Anolis sagrei: one gene and its partners. The protein of the gene in region 3 interacts with the protein of the main gene of each other region in a pairwise test. Links are inferred from orthologs where the notes say so. Each region holds a gene or a part of one and is shown on either strand. Other genes may lie near its edges. The genes, in order: STAT2, CFL1, EGFR and STIP1.

The links.
Region 1: the proteins of EGFR (region 3) and STAT2 interact in a protein complementation assay, tested with the Homo sapiens proteins (3 studies listed by BioGRID and IntAct, with this or other methods). The link is inferred for Anolis sagrei from reciprocal best matches to the Homo sapiens genes EGFR and STAT2.
Region 2: the proteins of EGFR (region 3) and CFL1 interact in binary tests that used the Homo sapiens proteins (3 or more experiments, as listed by UniProt). The link is inferred for Anolis sagrei from reciprocal best matches to the Homo sapiens genes EGFR and CFL1.
Region 4: the proteins of EGFR (region 3) and STIP1 interact in binary tests that used the Homo sapiens proteins (3 or more experiments, as listed by UniProt). The link is inferred for Anolis sagrei from reciprocal best matches to the Homo sapiens genes EGFR and STIP1.

What each region holds. Positions count from the first base shown.
Region 1 is NC_090022.1:138,706,620-138,714,285, reverse strand, and holds the start of STAT2 (signal transducer and activator of transcription 2), read left to right. Parts: upstream 1-4,666; 5' UTR 4,667-4,764; intron 4,765-7,666. UniProt on the Homo sapiens protein: Signal transducer and activator of transcription that mediates signaling by type I interferons (IFN-alpha and IFN-beta).
Region 2 is NC_090032.1:9,213,829-9,221,534, reverse strand, and holds the start of CFL1 (cofilin-1), read left to right. Parts: upstream 1-4,701; 5' UTR 4,702-4,880; coding exon 4,881-4,883; intron 4,884-7,706.
Region 3 is NC_090026.1:66,070,500-66,077,766, reverse strand, and holds the start of EGFR (epidermal growth factor receptor), read right to left. Parts: upstream 3,002-7,267; 5' UTR 2,631-3,001; coding exon 2,555-2,630; intron 1-2,554. UniProt on the Homo sapiens protein: Receptor tyrosine kinase binding ligands of the EGF family and activating several signaling cascades to convert extracellular cues into appropriate cellular responses.
Region 4 is NC_090032.1:15,948,054-15,955,329, forward strand, and holds the start of STIP1 (stress-induced-phosphoprotein 1), read left to right. Parts: upstream 1-4,272; 5' UTR 4,273-4,377; coding exon 4,378-4,386; intron 4,387-7,276. UniProt on the Homo sapiens protein: Acts as a co-chaperone for HSP90AA1. Mediates the association of the molecular chaperones HSPA8/HSC70 and HSP90.

The DNA of each region.
Region 1 (7,666 bases), on a different chromosome or scaffold from region 3:
CAAATACAGAATATATAGAGCTGTCAGATTCAGATTTTCCATGCCTTCCCCCCGCCTCCCCCGAGCCAACTCCACTGTGATTAGTCGCAATGTCAGTGATCCAGGAGGAGCAGCCAGGGAAGGATGCGGCTCCTCCAATCAGAGCACGAGCCCCGCATTGGCCGCTCAGCTGATAAGTGAGAAGGAGGCAGGCAGCAGGGGAAACAATGAAGAAATGGTTAAGTGATTGGATTATGAATGGTCCTCCCTGGACCTTGATGATAAGTGATCAGGAAAGATGGCTTTCAGCCCTCCAGTCCTGATCCTGACTATTGACAAAAGTCTGAAACAACATCCTAGTCTGGCCCCGAAGAGCCAGCCAATTGTCATAAGGTCCAACAATATTAACTTTTTCAATAAGATCTTGGATCCTTTTCTTGGAATGGGGGGATGGCTTTGTGGGAAATCTGGCAATAACTCCTTTTCCTCTTGGTTGGGGAAATGTTTTTTGTGTCAAGTGATTACCATGTCCATGAGCCCCATACCTTAGGTAGTCTGGTCAAAGAGACCCTCCAAAGCCCAAGGAAAAGGGGCTATTTACTTATTGTCCATGCTGATGAGTTTCTGCAGAGTCCATTGTTTAGGAATGATGACCCAGGAAGTATTGCAACACCTGGATCCTGAGGTGCTGGGCACACTTTATGAAGAGGTCATCTTGCTTAATATTTTATATAGACATACATACATATCATAAATGGGAATATGGGGCATATACAGAGTTCATATGGAAAGGGGGAACCTGTAGGGTCAAGGGAAGATCCGCCTTGGCCACCCAGAGCCATTCAAGATGGTACATTGTCCATACAAGCGCTGAGCAGCCAAAGTCCATTAATAAAACAGAAGTTCATAAAAAAGGAGTCCAATTAATAAAAACAGCCAAATTGGCCTGATGCTGGCCAGGGTCACAGGGTGACACACAAGGGGCTTTCCAGGGTCAGCAGGCACCATGGGGCACCATGTCAAGGCTACATGCACAAGAAAGAAAAGGGTACACGAACATCATTGCCATGTGAGACAATGGCACCACGGAAAAAGTCTTAGGTTCCCACATGGGGGGTTTGGGCAAGAAGAATGGATCTGGGGGTCCAAGGGTCCATTCAGCAGAAAGTAAGATGGTAATTAGTATTATAATTCATCAGGGAGGAAGATGGCGCCGATTTGGAGTGGATCGGTTAACCCACGGATACCAAGACCATGTGGGCCCCCATATCCGCAGTTTAAAGGAACGCAGTTCTGGGCTCCCTGGGACACTGCTGGAGCATCCCAGCTGAGCCAACGGAGTTCTGCGGCTTGGGAGCGGGAAAGTTCATGGTTGGAGCAAAGCTAGAGTCAGTAAAGGAGACAATGTATTACTTCATAGAGGGAAAGGTTGGAGAAAATGATACTTTTTATTGGGGAATTGTTACAAAGAGGCTAAGGTAGGTTAACAGAGGGGGAGAGAGAGAGTTCTTTGTTGAAGCTGTTGCTGGTGACACTGTCCTGCAGATACCTGAGAACTCATACTCTCAGGAACTGTGGAACTCCCTGCTGCGGTCAGATCAATTTGAAGGCAGGAGTCTCTGTTTTCGCCATCACTTTAAGCAAATAGATAAAAAGCAGTAACTCTCCAGTAACAGGACGTAAGTGCCTTGGTTGTGGCAAGGAGTGCCATCTCTACTGAAGAGGTTTACAGAAGTGCAAAGACAAGAGTGAAAAATGTCTAAAGGAGTGTATTTGTGGGTAGAATTGAATGTCTCAGAAATAGCCTACTGAGGACTGAGTGCGTGCAAAGCAGCTATCAGATTACAACTAAGTGCTGGGATAGCTGAGTGGGGCCACTGTGCATAGTGACTGGGATTATTTTGCACACAGTTTGATCCTAACTGAATTCTTTTTAAATTTAATTGATATATAACTTCACCATTGTTGCTTTGAGGCCTAAGATTTAGATCAAGGATGGGCATTTGCAGCAGGCCCTGTTATGGGATTTTTGGCTTTAAAAGGGAAGTAATACAAAACATATTAGTTTACAGAAAGAGAAGTCTGCTTTTGGCTTATACTTCTCAACGTTGAAGTCTGATTTTTATTGGGTTTTTTAAAAGATAGAACTGAAATTGAGACTGACAAATGCACAGGCCCCTGCGTTCAAGCTGATTTGAACTGCAGCAGGGAGTTCCACAGTTCCAGGACATCCAGGTGAGCCAGTATCGTGGGGACTGTGGCCACAGCAGCAGCTCCAACTGAGTCATTTTTCTGCTTTCTTTCCCCCCTTCCCCTAACATTGTAACAAATCCCCAAATAAAAGTATCTTTTGATTGCAATTTTTCCTCTCCATAGTGATACATTGTGTCTCTTTACTGCTTCTAACACTATCTAACATTAACCTTTTCCTTCCTGAGCCTCTGATTACTGCTGGCTCACCCAGGGTGCTCTTACAGCGTCCCGGGGAGGCTGAAACTGCGTTCCTCTGAACTGCCGATACGGAAATCTATTGGGCCCCCATATATGTGGGTCAACGGATCCATTCCAAACCGGTGCCAATTTCTTCCTAGACTAGTTCTAAGACTAATTGCTATCTCGCTTTTTGCATTATGGACCCCTGCGCCCTGGGAATATTCATTTTCACCTCAAAACCAGACGTGGAGACCAGTTGGTTCTGATCTATGGCTCCATGTTACAACAACGTCTGTGCCTCCATCTCACATGTGTCCAGAAGCTGACCAAACCCAAAGAACCTGCTGTGGTCACCCCTTGGGACCCCCGTATTCCTGACAGGCCATCCTGGTCCTTAGACAAAATTGGATTCGTAGTTTTCTTCTCATCAAAGAATGGATTCCAGCTCTCAGCGCTCACAGTGATTCCAATATGCTCCCCATGGACTTTTATGAACTTTCCAAGGCTCCCTATGAAGTTCTCTCAACTTTCATGGACTTTTTAGAACTTTTATTAACTTTTGAAGAACTTTAGAACTTTTTAGGAACTCTCTGGCCAAAGCCCCTATGAATTCTTATTATCTTAACCTCTCTTTGTGAACTTTTGATGGATTTTGGAGGGAGGGCTGACATGATTTCTATTTGCCTTTATGTGATTTATCCCCCATAAACTCCTTGTATGTTCCCTTCCCATACCATTATATGTGTGTATATGTCTATATTTTTCAAAAATAGAAGAGAGCCACCCTTTTCAAGAATCCAGCACCCCATGGCTCCAGGAAGCATTTCTCAAAATCCTGGGCCGGTTTGTTCCAACACAAAGGACTCGATCAAAACCCATTTGCATGGACAATAAAACAAATGGTTCTTATCAACCAGATCTCAGAGGGCAAAAGGCTAGTCCATCTGGAGATAAGACCATCTTGATCCACCAACACAAAGGGTGCTGTCCTATCTGTGGAGGATCCAGGCTCCCCACTGCCTCTTTTTCATTGTGAGGACCCAGCTGGCTGATACCAGTCATAAATCCCATCAATGGACTCTTATCCCGGATGGAAGGACAACAAAAGATCTGGTCTCTGAGCCAGATGAAAATGTATCTTCCAGAGCATCAAAACAATAGCCTGGCCAGCTTGAGGGCTAAAGAAGGCAATCACTGACCGCTTAGACAATCGTTAATAATTTTAATCTTATCACCTTTCCTCTTCATTCATTGTTTCCCACCTGGCCTGCCTCCTCTCTTCCCATTGGCCAAGAGGCCGAAGCGGCGCTGGCTCTATGATTGGACAAGGCGCAGCTAAGCCAGCCACACCTCCCAGCCAGCTGATGACTCCAGCCAATCAGTGAGAAGCCAGCAAGGGGGGTGGGAGTGAGAAATTTGAATTTGACAGCTCTGTATTTCCCATAAAAACTGTAATATTTCCCCTTGTGAGTTATGTCGACTTTGGTGAATGATTGCAGTTTGACATCCACTCCAGCTGGAATGAAATAAACAACTCGGTGGCTTCTTCTTCAACTTAGTGAGATTTATTTGGGAAAAATAGTGAAAAATTCTATTTGGGTATTCTTGTCTCGCCAAGTGTTTGGGCCCTCTTTGGTGGGTCTGGCTGGGCCTTGCCTCAGTAGGACCCCCCCCCCTTAAATCTCATGTTTGACATCAAAATCACCCCCAGGCAGCAATCAGCCAGGCTTTGAAGCTGCAAGGGCCTTCAATGCTAATCAAGGTGGCCAATTTCAACATTCACACTTGCCTCAAGCAAACAAGAGTTCTTTCTCCCACTCTGGACATTATTCCACAGATATATACACCTCATTTGCCTAGTTTCCAACCTCTGAGGATGCCTGTGGGCGAAACGTCAGGAGAGAATGCTTCTGGAACATGGCCATACAGCCCTGAATAACTCACAGCAACCCAGTAGAGTTTGGGTTTTGAAAACTGTGGAGGGAAACTCCAAAAAAAAAGGAGTTGAAATGCTGTACAGGAATCTACACTGAGCATAGAATAGAGCTTCAAACTGCATTAAACGGGGCATAAACACTGCCAACCCTTTCCAAACCTGCCCAGGATTTGAATAGTCATGGGTCAAGCCAGGCTCCGCCCACGGCGCTGACGTCATTCCTGGGAAATCGAAATCTACAGCCGCCAGAGCCGGCTCTTCCCTTCCCGGGCGCTACTCCCTCCGCGCCTGGGCGGGGCTCCGGCGCCTTGACCAATCGGGAGGAGAGTGGGCGGGGCATTCGCTTTCCTGCTTCTGTTTTCGCTCCATAGACTTCGAAGGAAGGGAGCGCGCCGGCCCTGCAGAGAGCGGTCCAGGTGGGTGCGCGCGCAAGGTGGGCTTGGCGCGGGTGGGCGGGGAGGTCTGCTGGCTCCTACTGGAGTGAGACATAGGGATCTGGATGAGGTGTTTGCATCATCCAAAGTCGCAAACATCTCGGAGGAATGCTTACATAACTTAAGGGAGCTCAAGGAAAGATCAAACAACCCCTTAAAGCATCAGACATGAGCAAACTTCGGCCCTCCACATGTTTTGGACTTCAACTCCCAGAATTCCAAACAGCTGGTAAAGATACTGTTTTAACTGCCATGGCTCAATCAATGGAATCCTGGGAGTTGTAGTTCAATCTTTTGGAGACAACTTCAGGGCCTCTTTCAAAATACAGTAGACTCTCAGGGCCCTTCTCCACTGCCAGATAATCCAGAATACCAAGGCATATTATTCACATGATCTGCTTTGAACTGGATAATCTGAGTCAAAATCAAGAATTAGTTTTCTAAGATCAGAGATACTCGCAGGAACACCTCAGCAAGCAAGAGTCCAGGAGTGGCAGGCAAAAACCCAGAACTTCAAGCCATGAATGAGAGACTCCACCCCGGGCACACAGAAGACTGGGCAGCTTGGAAGGCAATGAGATGCAAAGCCAGTAAGATGGCTGGGATTTCTGGGAGTTGAAATCCAAACACAGCATCCATAAAATTTATTTATTTACCACATTTGTATACCACCTTTCTCAGCCCGGAGGTGACTCAAGACGGTTCACAGCTGGCAACAATTCAGTGCCTCAACAATTGTAAAGATACAGTTAAAACAATTATAAAATTAAAGCATTTAAGATATAATATAAAAACCGTACAAAGCCATAAAAATGTAATCAGCAGTGTCTCCTTACTAAAATTGTTATCCAATTTCAAAATACAGTAGACTCTCAGGGCCCTTCTACAATCAGGGCCAGCTAACACCTCCCAACAAAGGATGCCTCCAGGCAGGAAGCAGTCAAGCTTTGAAGCTGCAAGGCTATTAAATGCTAATCAAGATGGCCAATTGCAACATTCACATGTATCTCTTGCAGACAGGAGTTATTTCTCCCACCCTGGACATTCCAAGATATATAAACCCGATTTTCCTAGTTTCCAACACACCTCACAACCTCTGAGGATGCCTGCCATAGATGTGGGTGAAATGTCAGGAGAGAAGGCTTCTGTAACATGGCCATACAGCCCAGAAAACTCACAGGAACCCTTCTACACTGCCAGATAATCCAGAATATCAAGGCAGATAATCCACATGATCTGATTTGAACCGGGTTATCTGAGTTTACACTACAAATTCAAAGCAGATAATTTGGATTTTATACAGCTGTGTAGAAGGGGCCTCAGTTAACTGAAACTGAAGCAACCACTAGTCTACTAAGGAGCAAAAAAGAATAGAAAAAGAATACAGCATCCACAAAGCTGTTTTTGTAACACAGTAAAACTGTTACATTAAATTTGTTTTAATTGGACTCAATTTGCTTTTAATTACTGTATTTCAATATTAATATCAAGTCAATGCAGAATCTATGGTGTGGTGTATTATGGGCATAACATTAGTAAGGCTTATTTTTAATAGTAACTCTCAAGCAACCAGAAATGATAATATTTCCAGTATCTAGCAATTCCCATGAATGAGGGTTACTGAGGTCACATCTACATAGCCCATTTAATGCAGTTCAAAGCTAACTTCAAACTCTAGCAGCCAGATAAACTCCTACAAAAGTGTGTGATCCTTTGAAGATGCCAACCACAGATGTAGGCAAAACATCAGGAGAAAATGCTGCTAAAACACGGTCATACAGCCCAGAAACCATACAACATGGTGTGTGAAAGAAAGTTCTTAATATGCATCATTACTCTGTGATTTGTGTAATTACCATCTTGGCCGCCATCTGGTTTCAGGATTTTCTGTGTAATCATCTACACCAGGTATGGAAAACATCGGCCCACCTGGTGTTTTGGACTTCAACTCCCACAATTCCTAAAAATTGAAGTCCAAAATACCTGGAAGGCTGAAGTTTGCCCAGGCCTGATCTATACAGCAAAACCATTTTTTTCAATACTGGTTTGAAGCAGCATTAAATGGCTAGCGTAGATGTGTCTGAGCATTTCCTGCTTATAAATAAGAATGAAACAATAAAACTATGTAACAAAATTTGAAAAAAACATCTGTTCCTGGTTTGAAAGTGTTATTTCTTGTTTAATTGTACAGTACTTGCTTTGAAAGTAGTTGTTATACTCTAGAAACTTCATTTTTGTGGCAGCCACAAACTAGGTTGAATGAGTTAAGACTCTATGAGAATATTAACTGGAAAAGCTATAACAAAATGTGCTGCAAGATGTCCCACAAAAACAAATGTTTTAATAAACTTTTCCCATGTTTTTATGATAAAACCAATTAGGAAACAATATTTATAACCAAGGAACAAAAACTGTGTTCTTTCTATCTGTCTGTCTGTCCATCCATCTATCTATCCATCTATCTATCTATCCACATGATAAAAGTGAAAATATGTATGCGTGTATGTGGCTGGGGTGCCCACTTCCACACACAGGTTCCCGCTTCCACAGACAGCTATAACCCACAGTGTTGAGGAACCACCAAAAGCACTCCGTCCAATGACATTTCAGGTTATAGCGAGTACCATGCCCTTCCTAAACACTATGGCCCACCATCCAAGGAATGCTTCCATACAGGGACAATTTCATCCTAGATTTTATATGTTTCCTCCGCTGCAAACATCCCAGTGTTTCTTACTCTCTCCATTGGTGTGGAATTTGCATGATCCCATCCACTGCCTCTTTCTCCCTTAACCAATTCTCTCACAAAGAATTGGTTAAGCAACTTGCAGTTTCTCAAGTCACTCCTGATACACATAAAAACCCTTTCCCACTCTTTTCAACT
Region 2 (7,706 bases), on a different chromosome or scaffold from region 3:
CTCAATTATTTTAAGTTGAAAAATGAAGACATTGTGTGCCAAGTTCGGTCCAGATCTATCAAGCCACAGAGAGGAACCTTTGAGGTACAAATAAACATACATAATAGATAGATAGATAGATGGATGGATGGATGGATGGATGGAGGGATCCGCTTCTTGCTATGCAGGGCAATAAAGATTATTATTATTATTTGAAACACAACAAGATGAGTCCACAGCAAACAAAATCACTCTGATGGCTGAATTTATTATTATTATTATTATTATTATTATTATTAATATAATATAATTTATTATTATTATTATTATTAGTATTCAGCTCTAGTTAAAGCAGGTGGGTGATGGTTTATGCCACTAAACAAGGCAGGATTAAGGCAGTACTCCACAAAGGAACAATAACGCTCTCCCCCTCTTTCTTAAAGCCTATTCCTCCAAAATTGCCTAAAATGGACATATACATGTATTAAAGCCTATTCTGTCACACTCTGGTTCTTTTATGCAGAGAGAGAGAGAATCCCTGGCGCGTTCTATTTCTAAAGGCAACGTTTTCCCCAGATTTTCTTCTTCCCAATCAAATAGAAGAAAAACCACTAAACAAATGCACTTTTTTGTGTGTGTGCCTTCGGTGGGAGGCTAATGTTGCTCATTGTAATGCTGCCAAGTTATTTGATGGTCGGAGTCCTGATTTCCATCACAAACACACATAACCTTTTGCAAAGGTTTTGCATAGTCGGAGCCAGACAAAGTGACATTTTATGGCCAGATAGAGACCCAGATCAGTCTGATCTCTTTGCAAGACGAAGGAAATTTCGTTGGAATTATAATCAATCTCTTCCCATTTCCAGGCAAACCTTATATTCACCTCTGAGGATGCCTGCCAGAGATGTGGGCAAAACGTCAGGAGAGAATGCTTCTGGAACATGGCCATACAGCACAGAAAACTCACAGCAACCCAAACCATCTATCAACACATAATAAAAAGTTAAAATATGTGTGGCTGGGGTGTCCACTTGCACAGACAAGCTCCCACTTCCACAAACAGCTATAGCTCCCACTACTCAGGAGACACCAATGGCCCTCCTCCCAATGATATTGCAGTTATAGAGAACACCATAAACATATCCAAGAGCCCTGCCAATGTCCTCCACAAACACAATACTGCTCACCAACCAAGTAAAGGCTTTCATGTGGGGACAATTCCATCCTAGATTTCATGTGTTTCCTCCACCACAGACATCCCAGTGTTTCTTACTCTCTCCATTGGTGTGGAATTTGTACGACCCCGCCCATTGCCTCTCCCTTAACCCTTTCCTATTCTTTTCTATGGCACACAGCATACAGAGGAACTGATCAGCAACTGAAGACACTACAGAGGTTTGGGGAGCATTCACCATGATTTATAAGTGTAGGTACTGGGATGTATAGTTCACCTGCAATCTTTTTGGCATTGCAGAGGGATTGGCTGGTGACTTCTGGAAGAGCACTTTGGTTTTCTCGATGTTCAGTGACAGGCCGAGCTTCTCGTATGCTCCTGCAAAAGTGTTTAGAGTGGCTTGTAGGTCTTCTGAATGCACACAGCCTACATTGTCATCAGCATACTGGAGTTCTATGACAGATGTTGTAGAGTGGCCTGTAGGTTTTCTTCTGAATGCGCATAGACTATGTTATCATCGGCATATTGGAGTCCTATAACTTGTTGTGACCTTGCTTTTGGCTTTCAGTCTGCTGAAGTTACCAAGGTGCTTGTTTATAAAGCTATTGTCCTCCCAACCCTGCTGTTTGCCTGCGAAACGTGGACTGTCTACAGATGTCACATGCAACTCCTGGAATGATTCCATCAGCGCTGCCTCCGGAAAATCCTGCAACTCTCTTGGGAAGACAAGCAGACAAATGTCAGCGCGCTGGAAGAAAGAAAGACCGCCAGCACTGAAGTGAGGACAATAGCTTTATAAGCAAGCACCTTGGTCCCCCTATGGATGTCCCGGTCCTCAAACACTCTCTGCTTCATTCGGAAAAATGCTGCACTCACAGAGCTCAGGCGGTGTTGTATTTCGGTGTCAATGTTGACTTTGGTGGAGAGGTGGCTGCCAAGGGAGCGGAAATGGTCAACATTTTCTAATGTTACACCATGAAGCCGTATCTCTGGCATTGGAGAGGGATTGGCTGGTGACTGCTGGAAGAGCACTTTGGTTTTCTCGATGTTCAATGACACTGAAATACACCACCGCCTGAGCTCTGCAAGTACAGCATTTTTCCGAATGAAGCAGAGAGTGTTTGAGGACCGGGACATCCGTAGGGATACCAAGGGTCTTGTTTACAAAGCTATTGTCCTCCCAACCCTGCTGTATGCCTGTGAAACGTGGACAGTCTACAGACATCACATCAGCGCTGTAAATCTCTTGGGAAGACAAGCAGGCAAATGTCAGCATGCTGGAAGAATGAAATACCACCAGCAATGAAGTGAGGACAATAGCTTTATAAACAAGCACCTTGGTCGCCCTACGGATGTCCCGGTCCTCAAACACTCTCTGCTTCTATTGTCTATTGTCTTCTATTATATATTGTCCTCCCAACCCTACTGTATGCCTGCGAAACGTGGACAGTCTACAGATGTCGCATGCAACTCCTGGAACGATTCCATCAGGCATAGACTACGTTGTCATCGGCATATTGGAGTTCTATAATAGATGTTGCTGTGGCCTCTCCTGGGATGTAACATGACTCCGGTGGTTATGCCCGCAGGTTCATTGGAACATGGTGATGACAATCCATCGAGTAGTGGTTTGTTGTTGTTCATACGTTCAGTCATCTCTGACTCTTCGTGACCTCATGGACCAGCCCACGCCAGAGCTCCCTGTCGGCCGTCACCACCCCCAACTCCTTCAAGGTCAGTCCAGTCACTTCAAGGATGCCATCCATCCATCTTGCCCTTGGTCGGCCCCTCTTCCTTTTGCCTTCCACTTTCCCCAGCATAATTGTCTTCTCTAGGCTTTCCTGTCTCCTCATGATGTGGCCAAAGTACTTCAACTTTGTCTCTAGTCTCCTTCCCTCCAGTGAGCAGTCGGGCTTTATTTCCTGGAGGATGGACTGGTTGGATCTTCTCGCAGTCCAAGGCACTCTCAGCACTTTCCTCCAACACCACAGCTCAAAAGCATCGATCTTCCTTCGCTCAGCCTTCCCTAAGGTCCAGCTCTCACATCCGTAGGTGACTACAGGGAAGACCATTGCTCTCCTCCCAAGAAGTAAGTGTCTCCTGATATCCTGGCCACAGTCTGCATCTGCAGTCATCTTTGCACCTAGAAATACAAAGTCTGTCACGGCCTCCACGTTTTCTCCCTCTATTTCCCAGTTGTCAATCATTCTTGTGGCCATAATCTTGGTTCTTTTGATGATTAGCTGCAACCCGGCTTTTGCGCTTTCTTCTTTCACCTTGATTAGAAGGCTCCTCAGCTCCTCCTCGCTTTCGGCCATCAGAGTGGTGTCATCTGCATATCCGAGGTTGTTAATGTTTCTTCCAGCAATTTTCACCCCAGCTTTGCATTCATCCAGCCCTGCACATCCTCGCATGATGTGTTCTGCATACAAGTTAAAAAGGTTGGGTGAGAGGATGCAGCCTTGCCGGACGCCTTTCCCAATCTTGAACCAGTCTGTTGTTCCGTGGTCAGTTCTGACTGTTGCTCCTTGGTCCTTGTACAGATTCCTCAGGAGAGAGGGAAGGGGGCTTGGGATGCCCATCCCACCAAGAACTTGCCACAATTTATGATGATCCACACAGTCAAAGGCTTTAGCAGAAATAGATGTTTTTCTGAAACTCCCTGCCTTTCTCCATTCTCCAGCATCTGGATATTGGCATCTGGTCTCTGGTTCCTCTGCCTTTTCTAAACCCAGCTTGAACATCTGGCAACTCTCGCTCCATGTCTTGCTGGAGTCTTCTTCCTTGCAGGATCTTGAGCATTCCCTTACTGGCATGAGAAATAAGGGCCACTGTACGGAAGTTTGAGCAGTCTTTCGCATTTCCCTTTTTTGGTATGGGGATATAAGTTGATTTTTTCCAGTCTGATGGCCATTCTTGTGTTTTCCATATTTGCTGGCATATGGCATGCATCACCTTGACAGCATCCTCTTTTAAGATTTTAAACAGTTCAGCTGGGATCCCGTCGTCTCCTGCTGCCTTGTTAGCAATGCTTCTTAAGGCCCATTCCACCTCACTCCTCAGGATGTCTGGTTCTAATTCATTCACCACACCGTCAAAACTATCCTCGATATTATTATCCTTCCTATACAGATCTTCTGTATATTGTATATATATAATATATATACAGATCCTTCCTATACAGAACATGGCCCTATAGCCCGAAAAAACCCAAAAGAACTGAGTAATTCCAGCCATGAAAGCCTTCGACAATACAATGATGATATTATTATTACAATCCATACATAGTATGGTAGGGAATGGCCTCTACCATAACTCAAGGCAGGCCTCAAAACCTGGCTGAAGAGGCAGGCCTGCTTTTGGGGGAGAGAGAGAGAGAGACTCTTTTTCCCCCCGCCCTTCCGTCTCCATGGCAACCTCTGCCTGAGATGCCGGCCTGGCACCAGCAGGGGAAAGGAGGCGGGCGAGGGAGGACTCGCTTTCCCGTGATGCCCCGCGCCGCAAGTCGGAAGCGGCTCCTCCTCGGCGAGGCGCCTTAAAGCGGAAGCGCGGAGCCGGGCGGGGCAGCAGTTCCTTTTCGGGCCTCGCTTGACGCGCAGACGGGCTCGGAGCCGCCGCCGAGGAAGACGCAGGAGCCCCCTTCGCCGCCGGAGCCACCCCCAAGGCCCAGAGCAGCCTCCAGCACCCGCCGACAGTTCCTCGCCCAGCCTGCTTGACTTCCAGCGCCATGGTAAGGCTTGCGGCTCCTCCTCGCCGCCCCCCTGCCTCGCCGCCCGGCCGCCATCTTGTCACCCGGCCGCCATTTTGTGGGGGACTCGTGGGGGATGGAGCCTCGGGAAGGCCGCCTTTGGCGCCCCCTCACGCCCCCGCCACTGAGAAGCCACGCTCCCCCTCTTCTGGGCCTATAAGGGTCCCTGCTGAAGCCCAGCCCCTCTTGAGTTGCTCTAGAAGCACTCTCTTCTGACATTTCGCCCACGTCTATGGCAGGCATCCTCTGAGGTTGTGGGGTCTGTTGGAAACCTGCCATTGAGAAGCTTTGCTCCCCCTCTTCTGGGCCTGTGAGGGTCCCTGCTGAAGCCCAGCCCCTCTTGAGTTGCTCCAGAAGCACTCTCTTCTGACATTTCGCCCACGTCTATGGGAGGCATCCTCTGAGGTTGTGGGGCCTGTTGGAAACCTGCCATTGAGAAGCTTTGCTTCCCCTCTTCTGGGCCTGTGAGGGTTCCTGCTGAAGCCCAGTCCCTCTTGGGTTGCTCCAGAAGCACTCTCTCCTGACGTTTCGCCCACGTCTATGGCAGGCATCCTCTGAGGTTGTGGGGTCTGTTGGAAACTAGGCAGGTGAGGTTCCATATATCTGGAAATGCTGGGCCACTCTTGACAACAAAGAAAAGCCATTAATCTCCATGTGGACAGTGTCAACAGAAAGGAGGAAATGATGGAAATGAGCAAAATTTGGCAACTTCATTAACAAAAGAATAACACCAAAAACAAAACAGCAGATTTTCAGACAGGAAACGATCCTTGGTCAGCTTGATTAGCATTGAATAGCCTTGCAGCTTCCAAGCCTGGCTGCTTCCTGCCTTAGGGAATCCTGTGGTGGGAGGGTACCAGTATTTCAAAAAAACCCTCTCAAACTAAGGCCCGGGGGCCAGATATGGCCCTCTAAAGTCACCTTCTTTGGAAGCTTTTAAACAGAGGCTGGATGGCCATCTGTCGGGGCCGCTTTGAATGCAATATTCCTGCTTCTTGGCAGAATGGGGTTGGACTGGATGGCCCACGAGGTCTCTTCCAACTCTAGGATTCCATGATTCAACTATATGATTCTGTGATACCCGGCCCTCACTCAGGGTGAATCTAAGTCTGAAATGGCTTGAAAGCACACAACAACAACAATCCTATTGTCGAAGGCTTTCATGGCCTCGGAGGTTGTGGGGTCTGTTGGAAGCTAGGCAAGTGGGGTTGATATATCTGTGGAATAATGTCCAGGGTGCGAGAAAGAACTCTTGTCTGCTGGAGGCAAGTGTGGCCAGCTTGATTACCATTTGACAGCCTTGTAGCTCAAAAGCCTGGCTGCTTGAGGCAAGTGTGAATCTTGTAATTGGCCAGCTTGATAGCCTTGCAGCTCAAAAGCCTGTCTGCTTCCTGCCAAGGGGAATCCTCTGTTTTGGAGGTGTTAGCTGGCCCCGATTGTTTAACATCTGGAGAAAGAACTCTTGTCTGTTTGAGGTAGGTGTGAATGTTCCAGTTGTTGTTCATTCGTCCAGTCGTCTCCGACTCTTCGTGACCTCATGGACCAGCCCACGCCAGAGCTCCCTGTCGGCCGTCACCACCCCCAGCCGTGTCGTGGCGCTGGAGCTTGAGCACCTCAATGATGTCATGAGCGAAACCGTGAAGGGCCACCCAAGACGGGACGGTCATGGCAGAGAGGTCAGACCAAGCGTGATCCCTGGGGAAGGCAATGGCAAACCACCCCAGTATCCTTGCCAAGAAAACTATATGTTCCAGTTAGCCACCTTGATTAGCATTTAATGGCCTAGCAGTGTTAAAGGTCTGGCTTTTACTGCCTGGGGGAATCCTTTGTTGGGATAGTAAGAAGCCAGATCTTCCAAACTGCTAGGCCATTAAATGCTAATCAAGGCAGCCAATTGGAACATTCACACCCACCTCCAACAGACAAGAGTTCTTTCTCCCACCTTAGACAGGAAACACTGGACAACTCTTGACAACCAGACTACAAAGAGAAGCCATTAATCTCCATGTGGACAAGTGTCAACAGAAAGGAGGAAATGATAAAAACGAACAAAATTAGGCATCTTGTATTAAAACAACGTCATTAACAAAAGAATAACACCAAAAATAAAACAAAACTGAGGATTTCCAGTCAGGAAACGATCAGGGCCATGGGTCAGCTTGATTAGCATTGAATAGCCTTGCAGCTTCAAAGCCTGGCTGCTTCCTGCCTTAGGGAATCCTGTGGTGGGAGGGTACCAATATTTCAAAAAAACCCTCTCAAACTAAGGCCCGGGGGGGGGGGGGCAGATATGGCCCTCTAAAGTCACCTTCTTTGGAAACTTTTAAACAGAGGCTGGATGGCCATCTGTCGGGACCGCTTTGAATGCAATATTCCTGCTTCTTAGTAGGGGGTTGGACTGGATGGCCCACGAGGTCTCTTCCAACTATATGATTCTATGATTCAACTATATGATTCTATGATACCCGGCCCTCACTCAGGTCAATCTAAGTCTGAAATTGCTTGAAAGCACACAACAACAACAATCCTATTGTCGGAAGGCTTTCATGGCCGAAATCACTGGGTTGTTGTAGGTTTTTTCGGGTTGTATGGCCATTGTCTAGAGGCATTCTCTCCTGACATTTTGCCTGCATCTGTGGCAAGCATCCTCAGAGATAGTGAGGTCTGTTGGAGTTTTAAAAAATGGTTTATATATCTGTGGAATGACCAGGGTGAGACAAAGGACTCTTGTCTGCTGGAACTAGGTGTGAATGTTTCAACTGACCACCTTGATTAGCATACAATGGCCTGACAGCGAGGTCTCTA
Region 3 (7,267 bases):
TAGATGTTTGATACTGGTTTCCCTTACTTTTTTCCCCCTCCTCCCTCTTTCACCCCTATTCTTCACTTCCTACTTTTGTTTTAAACCATGTTCACCTACTTTCAGTGTAATAGAAACCAGCTATTGCAGTCATGTCAATGACTTTTTATCTTTGATTAATGTGTGTGTTTATATGTATATGTATATAAATATTATTTATTTGCTACATTTATATACCGCCCCTCCCAGCCTGCAGGAGGCTCAGTGCAGTATGTGTATGTATATATATATATCTATATAAATAAAAATGAAATGTTCGTTTGTGGGATTAACAGAACTCAAAAACCACTGGATGAATTGACACCAAATTTGGACACAAGACATCTAACAACCCAATGTAGGTATGTCCGTCACTCAAAAAATGATTTTGTCATTTGGGAGTTGTAGTTGCTGGGATTTATAGTTCACCTACAATCAAAGAGCATTCTGAACCCCACCAATGATAGAAATGGGCCAAACCTCCCCCACAGAACCCCCATCAGGGCCCCAGCAGCACGTGGCAGGAACAGCTAGTATATATATATATATATATATATACACACACACACACACACACATACACACTAGCCATCCCCTGCCATGCGTTTCTGTGGCCCAGTCTGTGTATATGTGTTTTGTATGTGTGTATATATGTGTTTAAGTGTGTGTATATATTTGTATATATATGTGTGTGTTTGTATATATATGTGTGTGTGTGTGTGTGTGTGTTTATGTGTACATCCATATTGTGTGTATGTGTGTGCTTGTATGTGTATATGTGTGTGCATGTGTATATGTGTACATATAGTGTATTTTTTGAGTTTTTAAGTCTGTTCCACTGGGGTTTTGTGTGTGTGTGTGTTTAGGGGTGATGGACACTCGTTGGACTGTTAGGTGTACCGTGTCCAAATGTGGTGTCAATTTGACTAGTGGTTTTTGAGTTATGCTAACCCCACAAACGAACATTACATTTATATATATATATATGTGTGTGTGTGTGTGTGTCAAAATTTTGTCTATGTCCATGTCATTCACCAATAAAAATGGATTGCAAAAACCAAAAAAACTATGCATCGGTGATGTGCTGTTTGGAAAGATTTGAAATGCTATATTATTATACTACACTAGTGGCCCCCCTGCCACGCGTTGCTGTGGCCCAGTCTGTTGATCTGGAAAATAAAGTAATGAGAAAGTGTTGGTTTCTAATACATGTAGTTTCTTTATGCTTGTGGGTAAACAGTATTTCTTGCTGTTTCTTTGTTGATGTGTTGATGTAGAGATTGTCTAGTTTGCTACTCTGGAGCATGCAATTTATAAATGTCCTTCTTTAGGGGTCCCTTTCAAATCTATGATACTATATCTCTGTGTGAGTGAATCATATCTATCTATCTATCTATCTATCTATCTACATCTATGGCTAGATGACTCTATTTCCCCCAAACTCCACCAGTGTTCACATTTGGGCATATTGAGTATTTGTGTAGAGTTTGGTCCTGATCCATCATTGTTTGAGTCCACAGTGATCTCTGGATGTAGGTGAACTACAACTCCAAAACCACTGCCCACCAAACCCTTGCAGTATTTTCTGTTGGTCATGGGAGAACTGTGTGCCAAGTTTGGTTCAATTCCATTGTTGATGGGGTTCAGAATATTCTTTGATTGTAAGTGAACTATAAATCCCAACAACTACAACTCCCAAATGACAAAATCGGGTTTTTTTTGTTTTTTTTTAGTGATGATCACTCCTTTGGTTGTTAGGAGTATGCTGTCCAAATTTGGTGTCAATTCGTCCAGTGTTTTTTTGAGTTCTGTTAATCCCACAAACGAATATTACATTTTTATTTATATAGATTATTATTATTATTATTATCATCATCATGATGCCATGTAACCATTTCCTAGTACCTTTTTAACGGAATGACCACTCAGGGCCCTTCCAGACATTTTTATTTATATAGATGTCAACATTTTGTCTATGCCCATGTCATTCACCAATAAAAATGAATTGCAAAAACAAAAAAACTATGTGATGCGCTGTTTGGAAAGATCCGAAATGCTATATTATTATATGACATTCTGTATTACTTTGCAAGTTAAGTCTTGATGGGCTGGCTCCCCTTCTGGATTCTAACTGAGAAATCACTCCTTAGCATAACGAAATCAAATGCTACCCCTAATCATATTATATACGAGGGTTAAAACTACAAAACAAAACTATTGCACAACCTGGATGCAGGCATGGGCAAACTGTGGCCCTCCAGGTGTTTTGGACTTCAACTCCCACCATTCCTAACAGCCTCAGGCCCTTTCCTTTTCCCCCTCAGCCGCTTAAGCTTAAGCGGCTGAGGGGGAAAAGGAAGGGGCCTGAGGCTGTTAGGAATGGTGGGAGTTGAAGTCCAAAACACCTGGAGGGCCACAGTTTGCCCATGCCTGCCTGTCAGAAGGGCCATGCCTCTGAGTCGTCTCCCCGGCCTCTCTCTGCTCAAGCGCCCGCCCTTTCCCGGCCTCACTTTCCCCTCAGGCGCGCTTTCCTCACCTCGCTTCTCGTCCGCGGCGGCCAGAGCCAGGAGCAGGAGCGGGAGGGCCCCACAGGACAACCATAGCGAGCCCATCTCCGCCAAGTAGGAAGGAAAGAAGGAAGGAAGGAAGGAGGAAGGAAGGCGCTTGCCTCGCCTCAGCCGCGCTGCTCGCCCTGCCGAGGACTGTTGCAATGTGAGGATGACAACTCCAAGGGGGGAGGAGGGAGGGAGTGAGTGAGGAGGAGAGGAGCCCCCCGCTCCGCCTCTCGCCGGGTCCTCCTCCTTCTCTCTTCAACTCCCAGGAAAACTTTTCTCCTTTTGCGCGCGCGAGGCTGAGGGTCTCCCTCTGCTCTCCCTCTGGTCCGCCACTGGCCTCAATACCTGAGCCCGCCCAGGCGGGGCCTGCTGCTACCTGAAGGGACGGGCCAGAAATTCCAGTCAGGCAAGCTAGGCGAGGCTGAGGCGAGGCAAAGGCTGCTGAAGCGAGCAGCGCGCGCGCACTGCGCAGGCGCGTTCCCTCCCGCGCGCCTCCCGCGTGCAGCATTCGCTCCTTTAGGGTTGCTCGCCCGCCAAGTTTATTTACTTTCTGTTTTGTTCACTTGCAAGGAAGTCGTCTCTGGTTGCTTCTGGATCGAGAGAATCGGCCGTCTACGAAGACGTTGCCCAGGGGACGCCCGGATGTCTTGCAATCCTGCGAGGAGGCTTCTCTCAAGGACCAAGGCAGAGATATCTCCAGCTCATCCCTTGTTTGGGTATCAGCCAGCACATCAACGACTTATAGAATCATAGAATCAAAGAGTTGGAAGAGACCTCATGGGCCATCCAGTCCAACCCCCTGCCAAGAAGCAGGAATATTGCATTCAAATCACCCCTGACAGATGGACATCCAGCCTCTGCTTAAAAGCTTCCAAAGAAGGAGCCTCCACCACACTCCGGGGCAGAGAGTTCCACTGCTGAACAGCTCTCACAGTCAGGAAGTTCTTCCTAATGTTCAGATGGAATCTCCTCTCTTGTAGTTTGAAGCCATTGTTCCGCGTCCTAGTCTCCAAGGAAGCAGAAAACAAGCTTGCTCCCTCCTCCCTGTGGCTTCCTCTCACATATTTATACATGGCTATCATATCTCCTCTCAGCCTTCTCTTCTTCAGGCTAAACATGCCCAGTTCCCTAAGCCGTTCCTCATAGGGCTTGTTCTCCAGACCCTTGATCATTTTAGTCGCCCTCCTCTGGACACATTCCAGCTTGTCAATATCTCTCTTGAATTGTGGTGCCCAGAATTGGACACAATATTCCAGATGTGGTCTAACCAAAGCAGAATAGAGGGGTAGCATTACTTCCTTAGATCTAGACACTATGCTCCTATTGATGCAGGCCAAAATCCCTTAAATCAAGACATAGTTTTCTTAGATCTACAGAGACACTCACTGGAACACCCCAGCAAGCGAGAGTCCAAAAGTGGCAGGCCCAAACCCAGCACCTCAATTCATGGGTGATACCAGATGAGAGACTCCCCCCTGGGCACACAGAAGACTGGGCGACTTGGAAGGCGCTGAACAGACTGCGCTCTGGCACCACGAGATGCAGAGCCAACCTTCAGAAATGGGGCTACAGGGTGGAATCCTTGGCATGCGTGTGCGGAGAAGAACAAACCACTGACCACCTGCTGCAATGCACCCTGAGCCCTGCCACATGCACAATGGAGGACCTTCTTGCGGCAACCCCAGAGGCACTCCAAGTGGCCAGATACTGGTCAAAGGACATTTAACCAAATACCAAATTTGCAAAATCTGTGTGTTTTTTTTCCTTTTTCTTTTTAATCTGTGTGTTTGTTTTGCTCTGTTAGAATTGTAATACAATGGTTGCTGATGACACGATAAATCAGGGGTCCTCAAACTAAGGCCCGGGGGCCGAATGCGGCCCTCCAAGGTCATTTACCCGGCCCTCGCTTAGGGTCAACCTAAGTTTGTAACGACTTGAAAGCACAGAACAACAACAACAATCCTATCTCATCAGTCAAAAGCAGGCCCACACTTCCCATTAAAATACTAATAAATTTATATTTGTTAAAATTGTACTTCATTTTAATTATTGTATTGCATTTAAGTGTTTTTGCACTACAAATAAGATATGTGCAGTATGCATAGGAATTCATTCATGTTTTTTTTCAAATTATAATCCGGCCCTCCAACAGTTTGAGGGACTGTGACATGGCCCTCTGTTTAAAAAGTTTGTGGACCCCTGCCATAGGGATCCAGCTCCAAACAGTAGGGGTTTGGAATCCTCCCCCCTTTACACTTCTTACATGGAATATTGTGTCCAATTCTGGGCACCACAATTGAAAGGAGATATTGACAAGCTGGAATGTGTCCAGAGGAGGGCGACTAAAATGATCAAGGGTCTGGAGAACAAGCCCTTTGAGGAGTGGCTGGGCATGTTTAGCCTGAAGAAGAATCATAGAATCAAAGAGTTGGAGGAGACCTCATGGGCCATCCAGTCCAACCCCCTACCAAGAAACAGGAATATTGCATTCAAATCACCCCTGACAGATGGCCATCCAGCCTCTGTTTAAAAGTTTCCAAAGAAGGAGCCTCCACCACACTCCGGGGCAGAGAGTTCCACTGCTGAACAGCGCTCACACTCAGGAAGTTCTTCCTCATGTTCAGATGGAATCTCCTTTCTTGTAGTTTGAAGCCATTGTTCCGCGCCCTAGTCTCCGCGCCCTAGCAGAAAACAAGCTTGCTCCCTCCTCCCTGTGGCTTCCTCAGGGTAAAAGTATGATAGCTGGATCTGGAAGGCGGGGGGGGGGGAGCTTGCCCCCCCCCCCGAAATTCTCATGGTGGTCCGTGAGAAGGCCTTACTGGTGCATTATTTAAACTGTTACGTTTATTCATATCATGATCTGATCACCATACTCAATATATCCCATATGCATGGGGGTATTGGGGTAACAATACAAAAGGTTTGCTAGGGTAGACCCTCTTTCACTCAGACTCGCCCCCCCCAAATCAAACTTAGCCCCCCCCCCCCCCCAAATCAAAATCCTGGCTATGGGCCTGGTTACGCTGTTTTCGCTTTGCTCCTCAGGAGTGCTATTTGCACAACGCAGAATAATAATAATAATAATAATAATAATAATAATAATAATAATACTTTATTTGTACCCCGCTACCATCTCCCCTGTAAAGGTCCATTGGTTGTTTTGCTTGCTTGCTTGCATGCTGCAAGTCGCTTCTGGTTGCCTCTGGAGCGAGAGAATCGGCCGTCTACGAAGACATTGCCCAGGGGACGCCCGGATGTCTTACAATCCTGCGAGGAGGCTTCTCTCATGTCCCCTATCAACCAATGGCTGATACCAAATGAGAGACTCTCCCCTGGGCACACAGAAGACTGGGCGACTTGGAAGGCGCTGAACAGACTGCGCTCTGGCACCACGAGATGCAGAGCCAACCTTAAGAAATGGGGCTACAAAGTGGAATCCTCGACATGCGAGTGTGGAGAGGAGCAAACCACTGACCACCTGCTGCAACGCAACCTGAGCCCTGCCACATGCACAATGGAGGACCTTTTTGCAGCAACACCAGAAACACTCCAAGTGGCCAGATACTGGTCAAAGGACATTTAATCAACTACCAAACTCACAAATTTTGTATTTTGTCTGTTTGTTTGTTCTGTTAGAAATGTAATATAATTGACTGGTTGCCCTGACACGACAAATAAATAATTTAGGAAGGGGTATTTTGATTTCTCAGCCAGAGAGTTCCTCTAGTGCCTCACCGAACCACAAATTCTGGAAATCCCTAGAATGCAATTGTGGCAGTTAAAGGGGAATTGCAGAGCTATAATTCTACAGTCTGAGCACTCACAGTAAGAAAAAGAGTCTGAAAGGAGAATCAAAAGGGTCAATTTTCTTTAGAAAGCTTGAGCATTTTTTTTCAAAGCCACATCAGTAGCTGAAATTGAATCTATGACACAGATCAAGGTGTAGTAATGGTAGGACCAAAATGATCTGGGTCTTCGAGCAAATCTATGAGAAGGGTCACAATGCTGTGGTTTTTACGTTTATTTAAAAGAGCGTAAGGGGAACATGCAAGAGTGGCCTTTGAGCATACACAGTGTAGAGGAGGTAGACAGAGGTGCCTCCCTCTTTTACAGCATTTGAACTGAAGGTCTTTCAGTAACTCTGAATTGTGGGCACTTCTGGACAGACCAGATGAAATACTTAATTAATCAATGGCCATCCGCCCAAAAGGACTCAAAAGGGATTTGATGGTGAATAAGACTGTCTATGTATGGGGATGAAAGAATACTTCTAAATATTAAATTCTGGGAAATATGAATTTTCACTCTGTAGACCTCCCTAGGCTGAGCGAAGGAAGATAGATGTTTTTGAACTGTGGTGCTGAAGGAAAGTTCTGAGAGTGCCTTGGACAGCGAGAAGATCCAACCAGTCCATACTTCAAGAAATAAAGCCTGACTGTTCATTGGAGGGAAGGATAGTAGAGGCCAAGATGAAGTACTTTGGCCACATCATGTGAAGAAAGGAAAGCTTAGAGAAGACAATGATGCTGGGGAAAATTGAAGGAAAAAGGAAGAGGGGTCGACCAAGGGCAAAATGGATGGATGGTATCCTTGAAGTGACTGGATTGACCTTGAAGGAGCTGGGGGTGGTGACGACCGACAGGGAGCTCTGGTGTGGACTGGTCCATGAAGTCACGGAGAGTTGGAAATGACTG
Region 4 (7,276 bases), on a different chromosome or scaffold from region 3:
AGACTTAATTAAAACATTCAGCGTTCTTATGGCTGATGACTGCCTGTCCTACAGTTTCATATCCAAGCCAAAAAGCCAAATATTCCACTTGGGCCTTGACCCAAGTGGAATTTGGGATTTTTTTTCTCCTGTTACTTACTTAGGGGATGCCTCATTGGACGAGTAGGATAGTCTTCCATGATTAGTATTCTTGTGGATCCGTAGGTGGCTGTGGAGCCCTTTTCTTGACCTGCATCTTCCCCCACAGTGAGGTCATTGGTTTCCAGGTGGAAGGCTGTCTCGGTTGGGGTTGGCTTGACACGCCTTCCTCCTGGTACGTTTCTCTCTTTCGCCCTCCATTCGTGCCTCTTCAAATTCTGCAGCACTGCTGGTCACAGCTGACCTCCAGCTGGAGCACTCAAGGGCCAGGGCTTCCCAGTTCTCAGTGTTGATGCCAGAGTTTTAAAGGTTGGCTTTGAGCCCATCTTTCAATCTCTTTTCCTGTCCACCAACATTCCGTATGGACCAAACTTGCCACGAATATTCCATATGCCCAAATATGAACACAGATGGAGTTTGGGGGAAATAGACCTTGACATAGAATCATAGAATCAAACAGTTGGAAGAGACCTCATGGGCCATCCAGTCCAACCCCCTGCCAAGAAGCAGGAATATTGCATTCAAATCACCCCTGACAGATGGCCATCCAGCCTCTGCTTAAAAGCTTCCAAAGAAGGAGCCTCCACCACACTCCGGGGCAGAGAGTTCCACTGCTGAACGGCTCTCACAGTCAGGAAGTTCTTCCTAATGTTCAGATGGAATCTCCTCTCTTGTAGTTTGAAGCCATTGTTCCGCGTCCTAGTCTCCAAGGAAGCAGAAAACAAGCTTGCTCCCTCTTCCCTGTGGCTTCCTCTCACATATTTATACATTTATACATTTGGGAGTTGTAGTTAGTAAAGGTAAAGGTTGTCCCCTGACATTAAGTCCAGTCATGTCTGACTCTGGGGGTGGTGCTCATCTCCATTTCGAAGCCGAAGAGCCGGCGTTGTCTGTAGACACCTCCAAGGTCATGTGGCTGGCATGACTGCGTGGAGTGCCGTTACCTTCCAGCAGGAGCGGTACCTATTGATCTACTCACATTTTGCATGTTTTCGAACTGCTAGGTTGGCTGAAGCTAGGGCTGACAGCGGAAGCTCACGCTGCTCCCCGGAATCGAACCTGTGACCTTTCGATCAACAAGCTCAGCAGCTCAGTGCTTTAACCCACTGTGCCACTGAGGGCTGTACTGGGATTTATAGTTCACCTACAATTAAAGAGCATTCTGAACCCCGCCAATGACAGAATTGGGGCAAACTTCCCATGCAGAACCCCCATGACCAACAGAAAATACTTAAGGCCATCCAGTCCAACTCCCTTCATCAGGGCAAGAAAACATAATCAAAGCCCTCCTGACAAAGAGCCATCCAGGTAGAGATATAGATAGATGTATATGATTCACACACACAGAGATATAGTATCATAGATTTGAAAGGGATCCTTAAAGAAGGACAATGATATGTTGTATGTTCCAGGGTGGGCAATCCAGACACTCTCCACATCAACACTGACAAAGAAACAGCAAGAAATACTGTTTACCCACAAGCAGAAAGAAATTACATATATTAGAAACCAACACTTTCTCATTATTTTATTTTCCAGATCATCAAACTGGGCCACAGCAATGCGTGGCAGGAAACGGCTAGTAATAAATAAATATTTGAGAGGAAGTCACAGGGAGGAGGGAGCAAGCTTGTTTTCTGCTTCCTTGGAGACTAGGACGCAATGGAACAATGGCTTCAAACTACAAGAGAGGAGATTCCATCTGAACATGAGGAAGAACTTCCTGACTGTGAGAGCCGTTCAGCAGTGGAACTCTCTGCCCCAGAGTGTGGTGGAGGCTCCTTCTTTGGAGGTTTTTAAACAGAGGCTGGATGGCCATCTGTCACGGGAGCTTTAAATGCAATATTCCTGCTTCTTGGCAGAATGGGGTTGGACTGGATGGCCCATGACTGTGAGAGCCGTTCAGCAGTTGAACTCTCTGCCCCAGAGTGTGGTGGAGGCTCCTTCTTTGGAAGCTTTGAAACAGAGGCTGGATGGCCATCTGTCAGGGGTGCTTTCATAGAATCATAGAATCATAGAGTTGGAAGAGACCTCATGGGCCATTCAGTCCAACCCCATTCTGCCAAGAAGCAGGAATATTGCATTCAAATCACCCCTGACAAATGGCCATCCAGCCTCTGCTTAAAAGCTTCCAAAGAAGGAGCCTCCACCACACTCCGGGGCAGAGAGTTCCACTGCTGAACGGCTCTCACAGTCAGGAAGTTCTTCCTCATGTTCAGATGAAATCTCCTCTCTTGTAGTTTGAAGCCATTGTTCCGCGTCCTAGTCTCCAAGGAAGCAGAAAACAAGCTTGCTCCCTCCTCCTCCCTGTGACTTCCTCTCACGTATTTATACATGGCTATCATATCTCCTCTCAGCCTTCTTTGAATGCATTATTCCTGCTTCTTGGCAGAATGGGGTTGGACTGGATGACTGTGAGAGGTGTTCAGCAGTGGAACTCTCTGCCCCGGAGTGTGGTGGAGGCTCCTTCTTTGGAAGCTTTTGAACAGAGGCTGGATGGCCATCTGTCAGGGGTGATTTGAATGCAATATTCCTGCTTCTTGGCAGAATGGGGTTGGACTGGATGGCCCATGAGGTCTCTTCCAACTCTAGGATTCTATCATTTAAGAGTTTCCTGACCGTGAGAGCCGTTCAGCAGTGGAACTCTCTGCCCCGGAGTGTGGTGGAGGCTCCTTCTTTGGAAGCTTCTAAACAGAGGCTGGATGACCATCTGTCAGGGGTGATTTGAATGCAATATTCCTGCTTCTTGGCAAAATGGGGTTGGACTGGATGGCCCATGAGGTCTCTTCCAACTCTAGGATTCTATAATTCTCCCTCTCCCATTCAGTAAAGTCTTTGCTGGAAAAATGCGGCAAGCTAATGACAACAATGAGGAGGAAATTCAGCCAATGGGAGCACCTCCCGCTGACGTCTCCACCTTTCCCGTCCAATTAGAATACACTATAGCTGGCCAATGAAACGCTGGAGGCGGGATCTTGGAAAGGCAGAGAAATCCGCCTTACTTTTTGTACGCCCCGCCCCTTCACTCTCAGTGACCCAATCGCGTTTTAGCTCCCATATTGTGGGCGGAGCCGAGGAGGAAGGCGGGATTTCGGAAGACGGACAGGAAGAGAGGCGGATAGGTCTTTAGCTCCGCCCCTTCACGATCCGTCACGCTCAGTGGCCCAATCGCATTTTAGCTCCCCGATTGTGGGCGGAGCCGAGGAGGAAGGCAGGATTTCGAAAGACGGACAGGTAGAGAGACGGACAGGTCTTTAGCTCCGCCCCTTCACTCTCAGTGACCCAATCGCGTTTTAGCTCCCATATTGTGGGCGGAGCCGAGGAGGAAGGCAGGATTTCGAAAGACGGACAGGTAGAAAGACGGACAGGTCTTTAGCTCCGCCCCTTCACGTTTCGTCACTCTCAGCGGCCCAATCACATTTTAGCTTCCATATTGTGGGCGGAGCCAAGGAGGAAGGCAGAATTTCGGAAGACGGAGAGGAAGAGAGACGGACAGGTCCTTAGCTCCGCCCCTTCACGCTGAGTGGCCCAATCGCATTTTAGCTCCCCGATTGTGGGCGGAGCCGAGGAGGAAGGCAGGATTTCGGAAGACGGGCAGGAAGGGAGACGGACAGGTCTTTAGCTCCGCCCCTTCACGCTGAGTGGCCCAATCGCATTTTAGCTCCCCGATTGTGGGCGGAGCCGAGGAGGAAGGCAGGATTTCGGAAGATGGGCAGGAAGGGAGACGGAGAGGTCTTTAGCTCCGCCCCTTCACGACGCGTCACGCTCAGTGGCCCAATCGCATTTTAGCTCCCCGATTGTGGGCGGAGCCGAGGAGGAAGGCAGGATTTTGGAAGACGGACAGGAAGAGTGACGGACAGGTCTTCAGCCCCGCCCCTTCACGCTCAGCGATCCAATGGCGTTTTAGCTCCCGATTGTGGGCGGAGCCAAGGAGGAAGGCAGGATTTCGGAAGACGGACAGGTCTTCAGTCCCGCCCCTTCCCGCTCATTTACCCAATCGCATTTTAGCTCGCCAATTGTGGGCGGAGCCGAGGAGGAAGGCGGGATTTCGGAAGACGGACAGGAATAGAATCCGTTTGGGTGTATAGAAGGGGCGTGTCCAAGTTAAAGGGAAAGAGCCAATGAGCGTCGAGGGGCGGGGCTAGAGGGTTCTAGCAGGTTCCAGAAGGCGGGGTGGGAAGAGAAGCAGGCGGCTCGACTCAGTGAGGGAAGTGGCAGCGAGGAAGTCCGGCCGGCGCGATGGAGAAGGTCGGGCCTAGCTTGGTGTGGCGGGGAAGCCGGGTGGAGGGGGGAAAGGGGGCCTGAGGGGGACGCAAAGGATCTCGGGAAGGCCGCGTGGGGTGGGGGAGGGGCTCGGAGGGGGTCCCCTTAACGGAAGTGGGTTCGCGCAAGGCATGGCGGGAAAGGGAAGCGTGGGCCTGGGAGGGGAGCTTCACAGAACGTGTGAATGTCAGATTTCAAGGGGGGATTCCTCTTGGTGGAGAGAAAGGGGGTCAAAAGCAGGGCCTCCAGAGTTGAGAGGATCTTTGAATATGAAATAATAATAATAATCCACTTCAATGCAAAACATGGAGTCTCCTCCTCTGGAGGTTTTGACTCGGAGGCTGGATGGCCATCTGTCGGGAGGGCTTGGGTGGTGTCTTCCTGCCTTGCAAAAGGGGGGATGGACTAGATGGCCCTTTGGGGTTCTCTTCCAACTCTGATTCTACTGATTATATTATAATGTAATACAATCTTCTATCTATATCTATATATATCTATATCTGCTCTCTGCTATCTATATCTTCTATCTATATGGGGTTCTCTTCCAACTCTGATTCTACTGATAATATTATAATGTAATACTATCTTCTATCTATCTATCTTCTATCTATATCTATCTATCTATCTAAATGGGGTTATCTTCCAACTCTTATAATGTAATGCTATCTTCTATCTATCTTCTATCAATCTATCTATATCTATCTATCTATATGGGGTTCTTTTCCAACTCTGATTCTACTGATAATATTATAATGTAATACAATCTTCTATCTATCTATCTTCTATCTATATCTATCTATCTATATCTATATATCTATATGGGGTTCTCTTCCAACTCTGATTCTACTGATAATATCATAATGTAATACAATCTTCTATCTATCTATATCTATCTATCTATCTATATCTATATATCTATATCTTCTATCTATATCTGTCTATGTATATGGGGTTCTCTTCCAACTCTGATTCTACTGATAATATTATAATGTAATACAATCTTCTATCTATCTATCTTCTATCTATATCTTTCTATATGGGGTTCTCTTCCAACTTTTATAATGTAATACTATCTTCTATCTATCTTCTATCTATCTATCTATATATCTATCTATATCTATATATCTATCTATATCTATATCTATATGGGGTTCTCTTCCAACTCTGATTCTACTGATAATATTATAATGTAATACAATCTTCTATCTATCTATCTTCTATCTATATCTATCTATCTAAATGGGGTTCTCTTCCAACTCTTATAATGTAATACTATCTTCTATCTATCTATCTATCATCTATCTATCTATCTATATCTATCTCTATGCGGTTCTCTTCCAACTCTGATTCTACTGATAATATTATAATGTAATACAATCTTCTATCTATCTTCTATCTGTATCTATCTATCTAAATGGGGTTCTCTTCCAACTCTTATAATGTAATACTATCTTCTATCTATCTTCTATCTATCTATCTATCTATCTATATCTATATCTATCTCTATGCGGTTCTCTTCCAACTCTGATTCTACTGATAATATTATAATGTAATACAATCTTTTATCTTCCATCTATCTATCTATCTATATCTTCTATCTATATCTATCTATCTCTATGGGGTTCTCTTCCAACTCTGATTCTACTGATAATATTATAATGTAATACAATCTTCTATCTATCTATCTACTATCTATCTATATCTATATATCAATATCTTCTATCTATATCTATCTATATGGGGTTCTCTTCCAACTCTGATTCTACTGAGAATATTATAATGTAATATAATGTAATAATGTATCTTCTATATATCTATATCTTCTATCTATATCTATATCTATCTATCTATCTATCTATATCTATATATAACAATGCTTTGTGCCTAATAAGTTCCTTAAAAACAAAAGAACCAATGAATGAAATCACACCAAATTTGGCAACAAAACGTCTCACAACACAAGGAGTGACCATCACTCAAAACACTATGACTTTGTCATTTGGGAGTTGTACTTTCTGGGATTTATAGTTCACCTATAATCAAAGAGCACTCTGAACTTCACCAATGGTGGAATTGAACCAAACTTGGCACACAGGACTCCCTTGACCAACAGAAAACACTAGAAGGGTTTGGTGGGCATTGGCCTTGAGTTTTGGAGTTGTACTTCACCTACATCTAGTGTGGACAATGATGGACCTGGACCAAACTTGGCACGAATACTCAATATGCCCAAATATAAACACAGATGGAGTTTGGGGGAAATAGATTTTGACATTTGGGAGTTGTAGTCACTGGGATTCACAGTTCACCTACAATCAAAGAGCATTCTGAACCTCACAAACAACAGAATTGGGGCAAACTTTCCACACAGAACCCCCATGACCCACAGAAAATACTTAAGGATATCCAATCCAACTCCCTTCATCAGGGAAAGAAAACATAATCAAAGTCCTCCTGATAAAGAGCCATCCAGCCATAGATAGAGATAGATAGATAGATAGATATGATTCACACACAGATAGAATCATAGAATCAAAGAGATGGAAGAGACCTCATGGGCCATCCAGTCCAACCCTCTGCCAAGAAGCAGGAATATTGCATTCAAAGCACCCCCAACAGATGGCCCTCCAGCCTCTGCTTAAAAGCTTCCAAAGAAGGAGCATCCACCACACTCCGGGGCAGAGAGTTCCACTGCTGAACGGCTCTCACAGTCAGGAAGTTCTTCCTCATGTTCAGATGAAATCTCCTCTCTTGTAGTTTGAAGCCATTGTTCTGCATCCTAGTCTCCAAGGAAGCAGAAAACAAGCTTGCTCCCTCCTCCCTGTGGCTTCCTCTCACATATTTATACATGGCTATCATATCTCCTCTCAGCCTT